Rattus norvegicus: one gene and its partner. The protein of the gene in region 1 interacts with the protein of each later gene in a biochemical or structural test. Links are inferred from orthologs where the notes say so. Each region holds a gene or a part of one and is shown on either strand. Other genes may lie near its edges.

Region 1 (5,353 bases):
CGTAGTTCAAAGGGGTAACAGGACATAACACAGAAAAACGTATTCCAAAGTGGGCTGAAGCCCAGACACCAGGCCTGCAACCTCTAGCATTTTTGCAAATGCAAATAATAAATGTATTTTAAATGTGTTCAGGGAAGGAACTTCAAATAATTCCTTGGGCTTAAGTACATAATATAGTCCCCATTTTCTTAGAAGTGACTTCTCTCTTTTCCTTCCCACCCTAGAAAGGTCCGGATGGGTCACGGACGCTGCATAAAGACAAGCCAACTGAGACTCATGCTTTGCATTCAACAGCTCTCTCTGCTGTGTCCTCCCCTCTTGCCAAACCTGACCTCCTCTTCTGCTTTGGTGTTCAAGGCAAATTCAGTTCTCTCCAGCATTTTCCTCTTCTCACTTTTGTAGCTCCCACCGTTGCACACTATCCCAGACCCACTGTATATCTTGAACACTTTCTGTAACTCTCTTTCCATGTCTCCTCAGAGCCCCTCCTCCACTTTTAGATCCCTTGAGATCCTGTCGTGTTGTTCACAAGCAGGCAGCCTGTAACTCCCGATACTTACCAGTGTGTTAGTCTTTTGTGTGTCTGTCAAACACATCAACCTTCCCTTCCTGTTTTTTTTTTTTTCTTTTTCTTTTTTTTTTCCGGAGCTGGGGACCGAACCCAGGGCCTTGCACTTGCTAGGCAAGCGCTCTACCACTGAGCTAAATCCCCAACCCCCGCTTCCTGTTTTTAATACTATTCTACATACGCTCTTGGAGTGTTTCCTGTCCCCTCTCTGCATACCTGGGGAATAATAAGGCAGATGCCAACTGCAGAGAGAATGTCTTGTGTACTGTGTAGAAGCATCACCTGTCAATCAAATGCTGATGGCCTATGAGCAAAAGGCAGGGCTAACAAGGGGGCGGGGCTTACAGGGGGTGCGGGGTGGGGGTGAGGGAGGGAGTGCTGGTAGAGATAGGAACTCTGAGGAGACAGACAGGTGAGGGAAAAGATTTGCCACCCGGACTCTGAGGAGACAGACATATGAAACTGAGGAGAGGTAAGCAGCCACGTGGCGGACATAGAATAGTTTAATGGCTTATATAAGTTATGAGCTAGTTGGGGAACAGGCGCAAGGTTACAGCCTACACATTTACTCGTAAATAGTTAAGCCTTCATTATTCGGGAACTGGGGTGCACGTGGGAAAGCTCGCAGTTACGCCAACTGCAGTACTCTCCTGTGCTCCTACCTCTGCTCCTCTGCCTTGGACACCCGCTGGCACTTTCACTGTGGCCCACATTACCTGACATGACACTGCAAAGCTGTCATGGATCTCACCTTCATCTCCACCACAGAGCCTCGGGAAGGTTCTGACTTCATGAAATCTAAGAGAAGTTATTTCCTCTTCCTTACAGAACTCAGTCTCAGTAGTAACTAGAAGCAATCTGCCCACTGCATTCTGTGTTGTTCCACAAAGATGGCAATAATCCAAGGGGCTAACACTAATAAAGAATGTTCCCTGGCGACAGGTACAAATGATGTCCCTTCACTAACGAACAGTCATTAACACTGACTTTACTCACCTGGCACATGGACACGAGGAGCCGTTCGAAATGTCCTGAGGTATCCGATCTAATGTCCCTCTCGAGCTCGCGTCCAAATTCTAATTGATAGCATCTAACAATGTCTCGGATTTCTTGATTTGTTCTTGTGCACAAAATCTCTATCAACACACGCTCTTGAGTTCCTGCTCCCTACATGAAATGAGGAGAGCAGGATTACACAGAAGCAAAGGGAGTTCTCTGACGACACCTCAGCTGTAGTTCAGACGATACAAAACAATTTTGTCTCATCCATCTGCACATGGGAACTATCAGAGCGTGTGAGGTACAGATACGAGCAATACGGACTAACCGCAGAAAATAAGACAGCATACCTGTATCGCCTTCCGCAAACTCCAGGCATCATAGTATGTAGGAGGCATGAACAGGGCAAGGATTAATTCTTCCATGTTTCCACTCAACTCTGACTTGAGATCTTTAATTAAATCCTGTTTAATGACATATGAGAAGCTTACAGGATTTCTGTATCTTATTTCACATAAATCGCTTACAAAAAATAATTTTAAAAGCTGTTTATGTGTACGGATATTTTGTCTATCTGTATGTCTATGTACACATGCCTGAAATGACAGTGCAGGCCAGAAGAGGGCACAGAAGGCCCCCGGAGGTGGAGTTACAAAGGGTAGTGAGCTGCTATGTGGGTGCAGGGAACAGAACCCGAGTCCTCTGGAAGAGCAGCCAGCGCTCTTAACCACTGGGCCACCTCCTCAACCCCTCACTTGAGTCTTTTTAGGAAAATATGCAAAAACTAAGTAGAACTGGCACTATGAAAGTTGAAATTTCAAATCTGAATGTGAAATACAAAAGAACGAGGAAATCTATTAAATTCAGTGGTGAATTCCTTGTGTCTGTAAACACTTGAACCCCTGCTGCAGAGTTCTTCTACTGTACCACACACAAAGGCACAAGGGCCGGCTAGAAAAAGAATAGGTCAAAATAACGAAATGAGGGCTGGTGAGATGCTAAGTGGGTAAGAGATACTTGCCAATGGGTTCAACCCCTGGGGTTCACATGGGGCAAGAAGAGAACTAACTCCTGACTTCCATACACATAGGATGACAAGCACACACTCATAGATAGCCACCCGCCCAAAACTAAATAAATGGATGTAAAAATACAAAATAAGCAGGTATTTACTTAGTATAAGAAACTACTTTTGGCTCTAGAAAGAAGTAGAAATCACTGTCATCTTGGTCTCACTGAGACCGCAAACATCTGAAGAGATAACACAAAGCAAACCGCACCCTAGCGCTACCTGGCTTTGTCTTGTGCGCTGTGTGTTCAGAAGCTGAGCTCTGTGCCCCTGTCCAGACGGCAGCCTAATCTTGGTGTACTGTACTAATCAATGTGCTGTAAAGCGTGCTCCCCAATGATCCCTCATTGGTTAATAAAAGGCTAGACCCCATGACTGGGCAGAGGACAGGAAGACTTGAGATCAAATTGGGGGTGGGGTGGGGGGGAGCGAAAGGATGAAGGAGAGGGAGGGAGAATGAGGAGAGGAGGAAAAAAGAGGTTACTATGAGGCAGGACAGACCATGAGCATGTCGCCAAAGAAGGTCGCAATGAGGTCACTCATGAAACAGCAAGACGCAGTTGTCAAGTAATGGGGCATTTATCTGGTTATTAATAGACTAGCTGGGTTTTAATAGTTTCAGAACCTGTTATAGCTTGTTAATAAGGTGATGTTTCTGTGTTGTTTGCTCAAAAGCTAATTGGGAAAGAGTGGGAAGAAAACCCCCAACAAAAGAACCTCGATATAGCCCTGAGGTGCTCTGAATGAGGATGGCCCAGAGGCTCACTGTATAATTGCATGCTCCATCTCAGGTGGCAGAAGGTTTGCAAAGAGTTAGTATATGAGGCCGTGTGCGTGTGGGAGGTGCTGTGGCACTGGGGGTGGGCTCTGACGTTGCAAAAGCCCACACCAGGCCTAGTGTTGCTTTCTTTCTGTCTCTGGCTTTCAGATAAGCTGTGAGCTCTCAGCCACTGCTCCAGCGCCAGGCCTACCTGCCTGCCATGTTCCCTGCCACGATAGTCACAGACTAACTCTCTGAAACCGTAGAACCTGAGTCCCCTGGAAACTCTTCCATAAGTTGCCTCGGCCTTGGTTATCTCCTCACAGCAACAACAAAGTAACTAAGACAAGTGTCGAATAGGTAACACAGAAACAAAAGCCAGGTGACTTCCAAAGTGGGCTAGGAAGCTCAAAGAAAGCTTTTAGTTCCTACCTTAAAGAGTGTAAGAAAACGAACAGGCAAAGAGAAGGAGACAGTTACTTAAGACAAGGTAGATGGGCTACACACCAAGAACAGAGGAGGCTCTCAGCAGTGCAATTATCTATAGTAGTTTTGTGTATGAAGTAGGGTCTCACTGTGTAGACAGGCTAACCCAGAACTCCTTGCTCTCTCCATCTCAGCCACTTGTGCTAGAACCATAAGTGTGCACTGCCACACCCAGCTCTTTAGAAGAAGAATCTCTTGGTTTTTAATCAGTGAAGAAACAGGGCCGAGTATGTGTCTGGCTACATTTTTTGGCATCTTGGTAGGTGGCAGGGGATATCTGGAAAGAGGAGCCTCAATTGAGACAACGCCTCCATCACACTGGCCTGGAGCTGAGTCTGGAAGGCGTACCCTTGATGCACCATTGAATGACCGACGGACGATGGCTTGCAGTCCTGGGCTGTGCATGAGGGCAAAGCAGGCAAGCTGTGGGGAGCAGGCCAGTAAGCAGCACTCCTCCATGGTCTCTATTCAGTTCCAGCCCTGCCTGCCTTCCCACAGGAAGGGGAGAACCCATTCCGGCAAGACTTAGCCATGTGCAATGTGGCTTGAACATATCCACATGCATCCATGCATCCATGCATCCATGCATCCATCCATACACACAAAGGAAGAATAAACAAATGAAGAAAAAAAGACAGCCTGGCAAGGGTATTCAGTACACAACCAAAATATACATGCACACAATAAATACAATGTATTACTACTACTACTACTACTACTACTACTACTACTACTACTACTACTACTACTATTACTACTACTGTTACTACTACTATTGCTACTGACGATGATGATGGTAGTGATGATGGTGATGTGGTGGTGATGTGGTGATGATGGTGGTGATGATGGTGGTGATGGTGATGATGAAATAAAGTGTGTCTGAACCGGGCAGAGGAAGACAGGCTGGACAAGCTGATGGACCACTTGCCTATTCTGAAGACAGTAATCAGGCTGCAGCAGATGATGTTTGGAAAGTTTAGGATTTGTGTGTAAATGAAAAAGCAGTGCTAGCCACTTCTCCCCATTATATACCTGAGGAACAATGGCATTTTTTTGCCATGAACTTTGCTACACTTGGTCATCGATTCGACAAACACTCACTAAGGAACCACTCATTACACACCCGCGGCGGAACATGAAGAGGACAACACGACATGGGTTTTGCGAAGGAAGCGCACAGGTTCTGAGAGTCGGTGGTGAGGCCAACAGTAGCACAGATTTTAAAGAATCATGGTTGGACCTCGGTGGAAGGACCAGCCAGTGCTGTCCCATTTAATGAAGGACACACGGCAGCTGATATTCGAAGCCAGATCTTGAAAAAGTTGTTTACCGTGCAAGCAGAGAGGAGAAGAGTAATAGCCCGGGAGTACAGCATGTGCTAACACAGAAGTATAAAAGACCAGTTCCACATAATTATACCCCAAGACACGCTCGGAGGGAAGAAAACGGGGAAAGGTCACCAATGGCTGAG
Region 2 (5,864 bases), on another chromosome or scaffold:
GGACAGCCTGTCATACTCCTGGGGGCATACACAAGGTGGGAGGCAGGCAAGTCATGGTCTCGAAGTGCTGCTCTCACACATCTCATTAATCAGTGGGCAGATTCTAATCACAGGTTCTTACTCTGGGGAAGTCATTATTCCTCGGGGTGACTCATCTACGAATACAATAGACTTGATCTTAGAACAGGCAAAATTGTTTGCTAAGGGCCGTACTTCTTGAGTCATAAGCTTGCCATGGCTTACGAACTTCTGCCCGAGGGTCACATCTGGCCGCCTCTGTTGGAGTACATCTGAGAGCTGGGAATGATATTTCTTCCTGTCTTTAAAAGACAGGAAGGAAATAGTTATCCTGACATTCAACAACTCTATTAGATTCAATGAATAAAGTTGTTCTGGAAAACAGCCACACTTTTGACATATGTTCTGTCCTCAGATAGTGCCAGGCTATGAGAGCCAAGATGCCACTACAGGGAGCATGGGATGGAAAATATCTACTTTCTGGACATTTTCTCCCCACCCCTAACCCCAGGGGCAGAGCTAGAGTACCTAGTGCCATAGCCCAGCTTTGAACTCATATTCTCCTTTCCTTGCTGTCCCTCAGCTCTTGTTTCTGAATTTCATAATAAAAGCACCTATCTCAAAGAACTTTATAAGGACTACACAAACAGGTAAAGTGTTTTGAAGGTCTGACATCTGACACTCATTAATTACTTTGTGTGTGCCACACACACACACACACACACACACACACACACACACACACGCGCGCGCACGCATGCACACACATTTATCTTTGTTGTAACTATTAGTTGCCACATATTTTTTTCCTGAACCTGAAACAGCAAGGGCATACTAATTTGCCGGCAATCACTGTAAAGATTTCATTTACAGCCCTCCATTAAAATTCGCTTGTTAAGGGAGAAGGAGTGACCAGAGCCTAATGACTATTAATGTAACAATTAGCATAGTCACTTACCAGACAAATGAATCCTGCATTAGTTACCAACACTTTATCAGGGACACATATTTTTTTGTGTTCTTTTAAACATGAGTCCTGAAAGAGCTTAAATTCAAGTGTGAGTTCAGTGCTGATCATCTAGCTGGTTAAAAAGTTCCACAATGCAGGACAAGACCTCAAAATGCCTAATCAATGACCATGGTATTTGAAAACAGTAATTTTATCTCCGGAGGCAGACATAATCCAAGCCACACCTTTGTCATGTGATCATAAGGACTATTTAGAATTTTTCTCAGTATTCATAACTTTCATGTTTTTGGAGTTTATGTACCCAAAGAGAACTTGAGAGAAGTTAAGGTCTCACACTGTGATCAGTTTTGTTTATTAAAGTATTTCTCAAAATGTTAAAAACAAAACAAAACAAAAAACCAGGCAGCCACAGTGACTCATCTGGAGGCTGAGGCCATGAGAGAATAGCCTGAGAACCCGGGCCTCAAAAGAAAAGAGTAAGAGCAAACAATCAAAAACAATCAATCAATCAATCAAACAAACAAATAAACAAAAAACAGTTCAGTCCTTTACAGTCAAGGGCAAGCAAACAATTATCTCTTGAAAATTGCGCTGAAAGCCGAAAAAGAAACTGAACCATCTTCTGAACAACCCAAGTGAGTTACACATCCTTTTCAGTAAGGTTCACCATCACGGATGTTTCTATTTGAAACATCCAGAAAATTAAACAATTCAATATTCCACGAATGATCTGGGTGAGGCTCTCCTGCCTAGAAAATGCCCTCTTCTACCCCACCGCACACATCCACGCCTAGCAATCACACCTGAGCTGCACCCAGCTTAACAGTTGGCAAAGAAACAGGCCACCGTCATTCAAAGCAAAAAGCTCTCTTGCAAGGTCAAGTTTCACCTGGCTATCAAAGGTTCTTTCCTATTTTGCAAAGTGTCCCCTTCACCCACTGGAGTTGTTCTTCCCATTCCTACAACTGTGCACATCGTCCTTATCCCATCCTCCCTATCCAATAACTTGGTGTAAATAGTAAATAAATGTTCCACAAAATAGCACAGTAGGAGGAAGAAGAAAATCCCCTAGCGGTGCCTGGATGTCGGAATGTGCCACTAGACGGAGAGGGAGATTAGGTCCTGCTATAAACTCGTTTGGGGTCCTGGGTCATCGTCTGGCCATGGGTCGCACGCTGTGCTAACACTGCACGGAGGCATCAGGGTGCGGGCGGCACTCCGGGTGGAGCAGGGCGATCAGGGTGGATGGCGGCGGGCGGCGGAAGGCGGGCGGCGTCCCCCACGGGGCCTGGTGGTGCGCTCCGGGGCGGCTCTGGGCCGACGGGCCGAGCAGCAACCACACAGGGCGGAGGCGCAGTCTGCACCATGTCGTATCCCGGGCACCCTGGCGCTGGCGGAGGGTACTACCCAGGCGGGGTAAGTGCAGCGGGTGAGGGCACAGCAGCCTCTCGGCTCCAGGGACTGGAGGGCGCCACGGACGCGCGGGAGGAGGCGCCGCGGGCGGTCCCAGACGCTCCCTGGGAGTTCGCCTGGACCCTGATGTCCAGCCTTGGCCCCACTCCATATTTCTTCCCCATCTTTTCCTTGTGCCTTTCCCGGGCCCACAGGTGGGTGGGCTGCGACCCGGGAAGCCTACTCTGTGAGTCGGTTATGTGGCGTGAGATAGTGCAAACTGGGTGTTGACTTCCTGCTCTCTCTCGGAATGTCCCCAAGCAACAACAGCCATCTTGATCTAGAATGGTTCTGTGGTCACTCCCTGGAAAAGAAAGTGACAGGTCGGCCAGAAAGACTGGAGAAATAAGCTGAAGTCCTAGAGGAAGACCACTTCGCCAGATGTTGGAGATGTACTGTCAGAGACTGAAGCACCCTCATCTTAGATACAAACGGACCATCCTTCTTCCCAAGCCACACCTGTCAGCCCTGTACTAACTCCAGCCTTACCTAGTACTTCAAGTACTTTTAAAACACTACTAAAGCTGTAATAAACCATCAGGAACACAATCCCGAGCCTAAGCTAGTTAATAGGGATTTTAAAGTGGCTTCCCATATAATGGCATCACCTTCATGGAGATTTATTTTGGACCAAGTCTCCAGCTTTTAATGTCAAAGGAGCAGGAGTGGAAAAGCCTGGTGGGTCACTGAGCCGGAGTGTGGTGTGGTGTGGCGGTGGGGAATTAGAGGCTGTGAAGGCCACACGGTGTCAATTGTACAAAAGCCTTGCATGGTGAAAGAGTAGACTCAATTCTGTGTCTGATGCCTTTATGTTTCTTTTTCACAGTGTGGAGGGGCTCCTGGGGGGCCTGTGTTCCCTGGACACACTCAGGACCCGCTCTATGGTTACTTTGCTGCTGTGGCTGGACAGGTTAGCCTTTCTTTTGTTATTGAGGAATTGTTATATTCTGCTTGTGTTAGCATTTCTTGCAGGGGCACAAAACTATCTTTGCCCTGGAAGTGAGTCCCTTTGCCTGAAAAAAAAGAAAGAGGAGAAGGAAATGAAAGCATTGTTTTAGATCTGAACAAAGCAGGACAGAGTGTTTGTTGTGTGTATTGATAACAGATCGGATTAAAACTAAACTTGTGATTAAACTGGGGTTCGATTGACCCGAAGGGGGATTATGAAAATACTTCGAAGATCTACAAAGTTTAAAGGTGCCTTTAGGACTGAATTATCAGGGCAGAGCAAGGGCTGCTTACAGAAAAGAAGTTCAAAATCTGAACATAAAACTGTGGCTTGCCCAACCTAAAAGCACATATCGGTGATTAATGATTCTATAGCTCCATTACGACTGATAGCTACTTTCAGTTGAATCCGATAATTAATCGTTTACCCACAAAGGAGGTAGAGAAGTTCTGTAAAAGAGCTTCCAAGCACAAGAGTGACTGTCACTATTAGGAAGGTGGCCTCTACCCTAGGTGCAGATGCTCCTGTGAGGCTAGCTTTCTATGCCCTTTTTAGGTGTTGTGGCTGGATGACCCACAGAAGGAATGCAGGTCAGCGAGTCCTAAGGCCCACTTCCTCACTCAGAGAGTTTTATGACAGATGCCTATGGCTACTGTGGGGAAGGACACGTGCCTGCCTTGCAAGGTCACTGTGTTTGGTAAATATTCAGGGATATAATCCAGATGTGTCCAGAGAGGACCTTCCTACTTATTCACCTTAGACTTGTTTTAAACAAGAGTCCGAAAGAATGAGATCGTGATTTTAAAAAACCAACCAAACATAAACAAACAAAAAGTGCTCTAGAATATGCTAAGCAAAATCTTCCAGCCGCCTCGGATGAGGTGGTGCTCTAAGAAACCCGACTTTGAGAATTTGAATGGAAAATTGAGTCGAAGACTGGGAAACTTTCCTCTCGAGTGTCTACTTAATCCGTTATTGATCCGTGTCTTTGAAACCACAAGACGAAAGCACACCTCAAGGCAAGCATTCTTAGATTGCCAGTGTCTTCAAGCATGTAAGCAACTCCACCTGCTTGGCTTTCAGTAGCACTGGCCTCTATTTCACACATTCATCTTCTTGCAAATTATTGATCCCGTCCCTATTTATAACGCGATGGCTCTCACCAACTCGGATTTATATATTTTATTTAAAATCCCTAGAAGTGTTGTGTGTCTTATTCTGACCTCAGTCAGTAGGTATTGGTATCTATATAATTGTGCTCGGAAAACCCTGTCTCCCGAGTCAAGTTGACCCAAGGGCCTCTTTCTCCTTGGACCTGACCTTGTATTTCCTGATGCTTAAAAGTCTATGATAGACCCTACTTCCCCACTCTTTTAAAAAGGGGGTTGGAGGGCTATGGTTTTAAACAACTCTGTGAAATAATTTTAAAGTGGTTGATGTTGATAGCTTCTTGGGTCAAACTGGGTGCGGGCTGTTTGCCATGGCAAATATTCTCTCACCATTGGATTATTTTTGGAATTAGGGTAGGGAGAATTTTGAAAGGGGTTCCTCTAAAGAAATGCTACATATAACTAACTACTTTCTCCTGTCAGTGCTGCTTAGGGACTTGAAAATGCAAATCACTGCTCTGATTTCCTCTCTCGGTTTTTGTTTCTTTTTTAAAGGACGGACAAATTGATGCTGACGAGTTGCAGCGATGCCTAACTCAGTCTGGCATAGCGGGAGGATACAAACGTAAGCCTTGGGATCTTTCTAACGGTATTCTTGTTCTCTGTACCTCGGCGGCGGCGGACGGCAATTGTTCCTTTAAAGAAATCAGACTTTTCTCATCCATCGAGCTATTATTTTAAAAGGTTCATAGAGCATAGTTCCTAGCAGGTTCCCTGTATTCCGGGACCATTCAAACCAGTGAGACGATTTGGGCAGCCTCCCACACGGAGGACAAGTTAGGGTGCTGAAATGGAATCCACCAGGTCAGGTATCATTAATGCTAAGTGCTAACAGGCACCAGTGACTTTGCCAAGTGCTTGCTCTATCCTAACTCTGGTGGCACTGAGAGAGTGGCCAGTCTGGCTGTCTGATCTCTGGGCCCTGGGCTTACCTGGTAATACAAACACTTGCCGGCCATGACGTCGCCTAGGTCATTCTTTCTGTCACCTGAGAAGATGTGTTCATGCTGAGGACAGAGTCCCCTTCCTGCTTTCGCTCCATGCCAGCCTTCTGCTCCCTCCTCTGTCCTTTACAGACAGTATGCACTGCCCCACTGTTCATCCCACAGCCTACTGCCCTGACTTCTCAGAACTGTGCTCCGGGAAGCAAATCGGAAAGTAAACGTTGCAAAGGTGTTGAATCCTGGCTGAGGCTTATTATCCCACGTGCCCTGGGCTGGTTGGTTGGTTTGGTTTGTTTCATTTTGTTTTAAATCTAATCTTGACCACGAGAAGTGTCTGGGGTAAATAATAAATACTGTCTTGG

Evidence for each region.
Region 2: the proteins of Anxa7 (region 1) and Sri interact in a biophysical measurement, tested with the Homo sapiens proteins (2 studies listed by BioGRID and IntAct, with this or other methods). The link is inferred for Rattus norvegicus from reciprocal best matches to the Homo sapiens genes ANXA7 and SRI.

Annotation. Positions count from the first base shown.
Region 1 is NC_086033.1:3,887,483-3,892,835, reverse strand, and holds part of Anxa7 (annexin A7), read right to left. Parts: intron 2,032-5,353; coding exon 1,918-2,031; intron 1,736-1,917; coding exon 1,565-1,735; intron 1-1,564. UniProt on the Homo sapiens protein: Calcium/phospholipid-binding protein which promotes membrane fusion and is involved in exocytosis.
Region 2 is NC_086022.1:26,939,132-26,944,995, reverse strand, and holds the start of Sri (sorcin), read left to right. Parts: upstream 1-2,353; coding exon 2,354-2,404; intron 2,405-3,266; coding exon 3,267-3,350; intron 3,351-5,053; coding exon 5,054-5,123; intron 5,124-5,634; coding exon of another isoform or gene 5,635-5,720; exon of another isoform or gene 5,721-5,864. UniProt on the Homo sapiens protein: Calcium-binding protein that modulates excitation-contraction coupling in the heart. Contributes to calcium homeostasis in the heart sarcoplasmic reticulum. Modulates the activity of RYR2 calcium channels.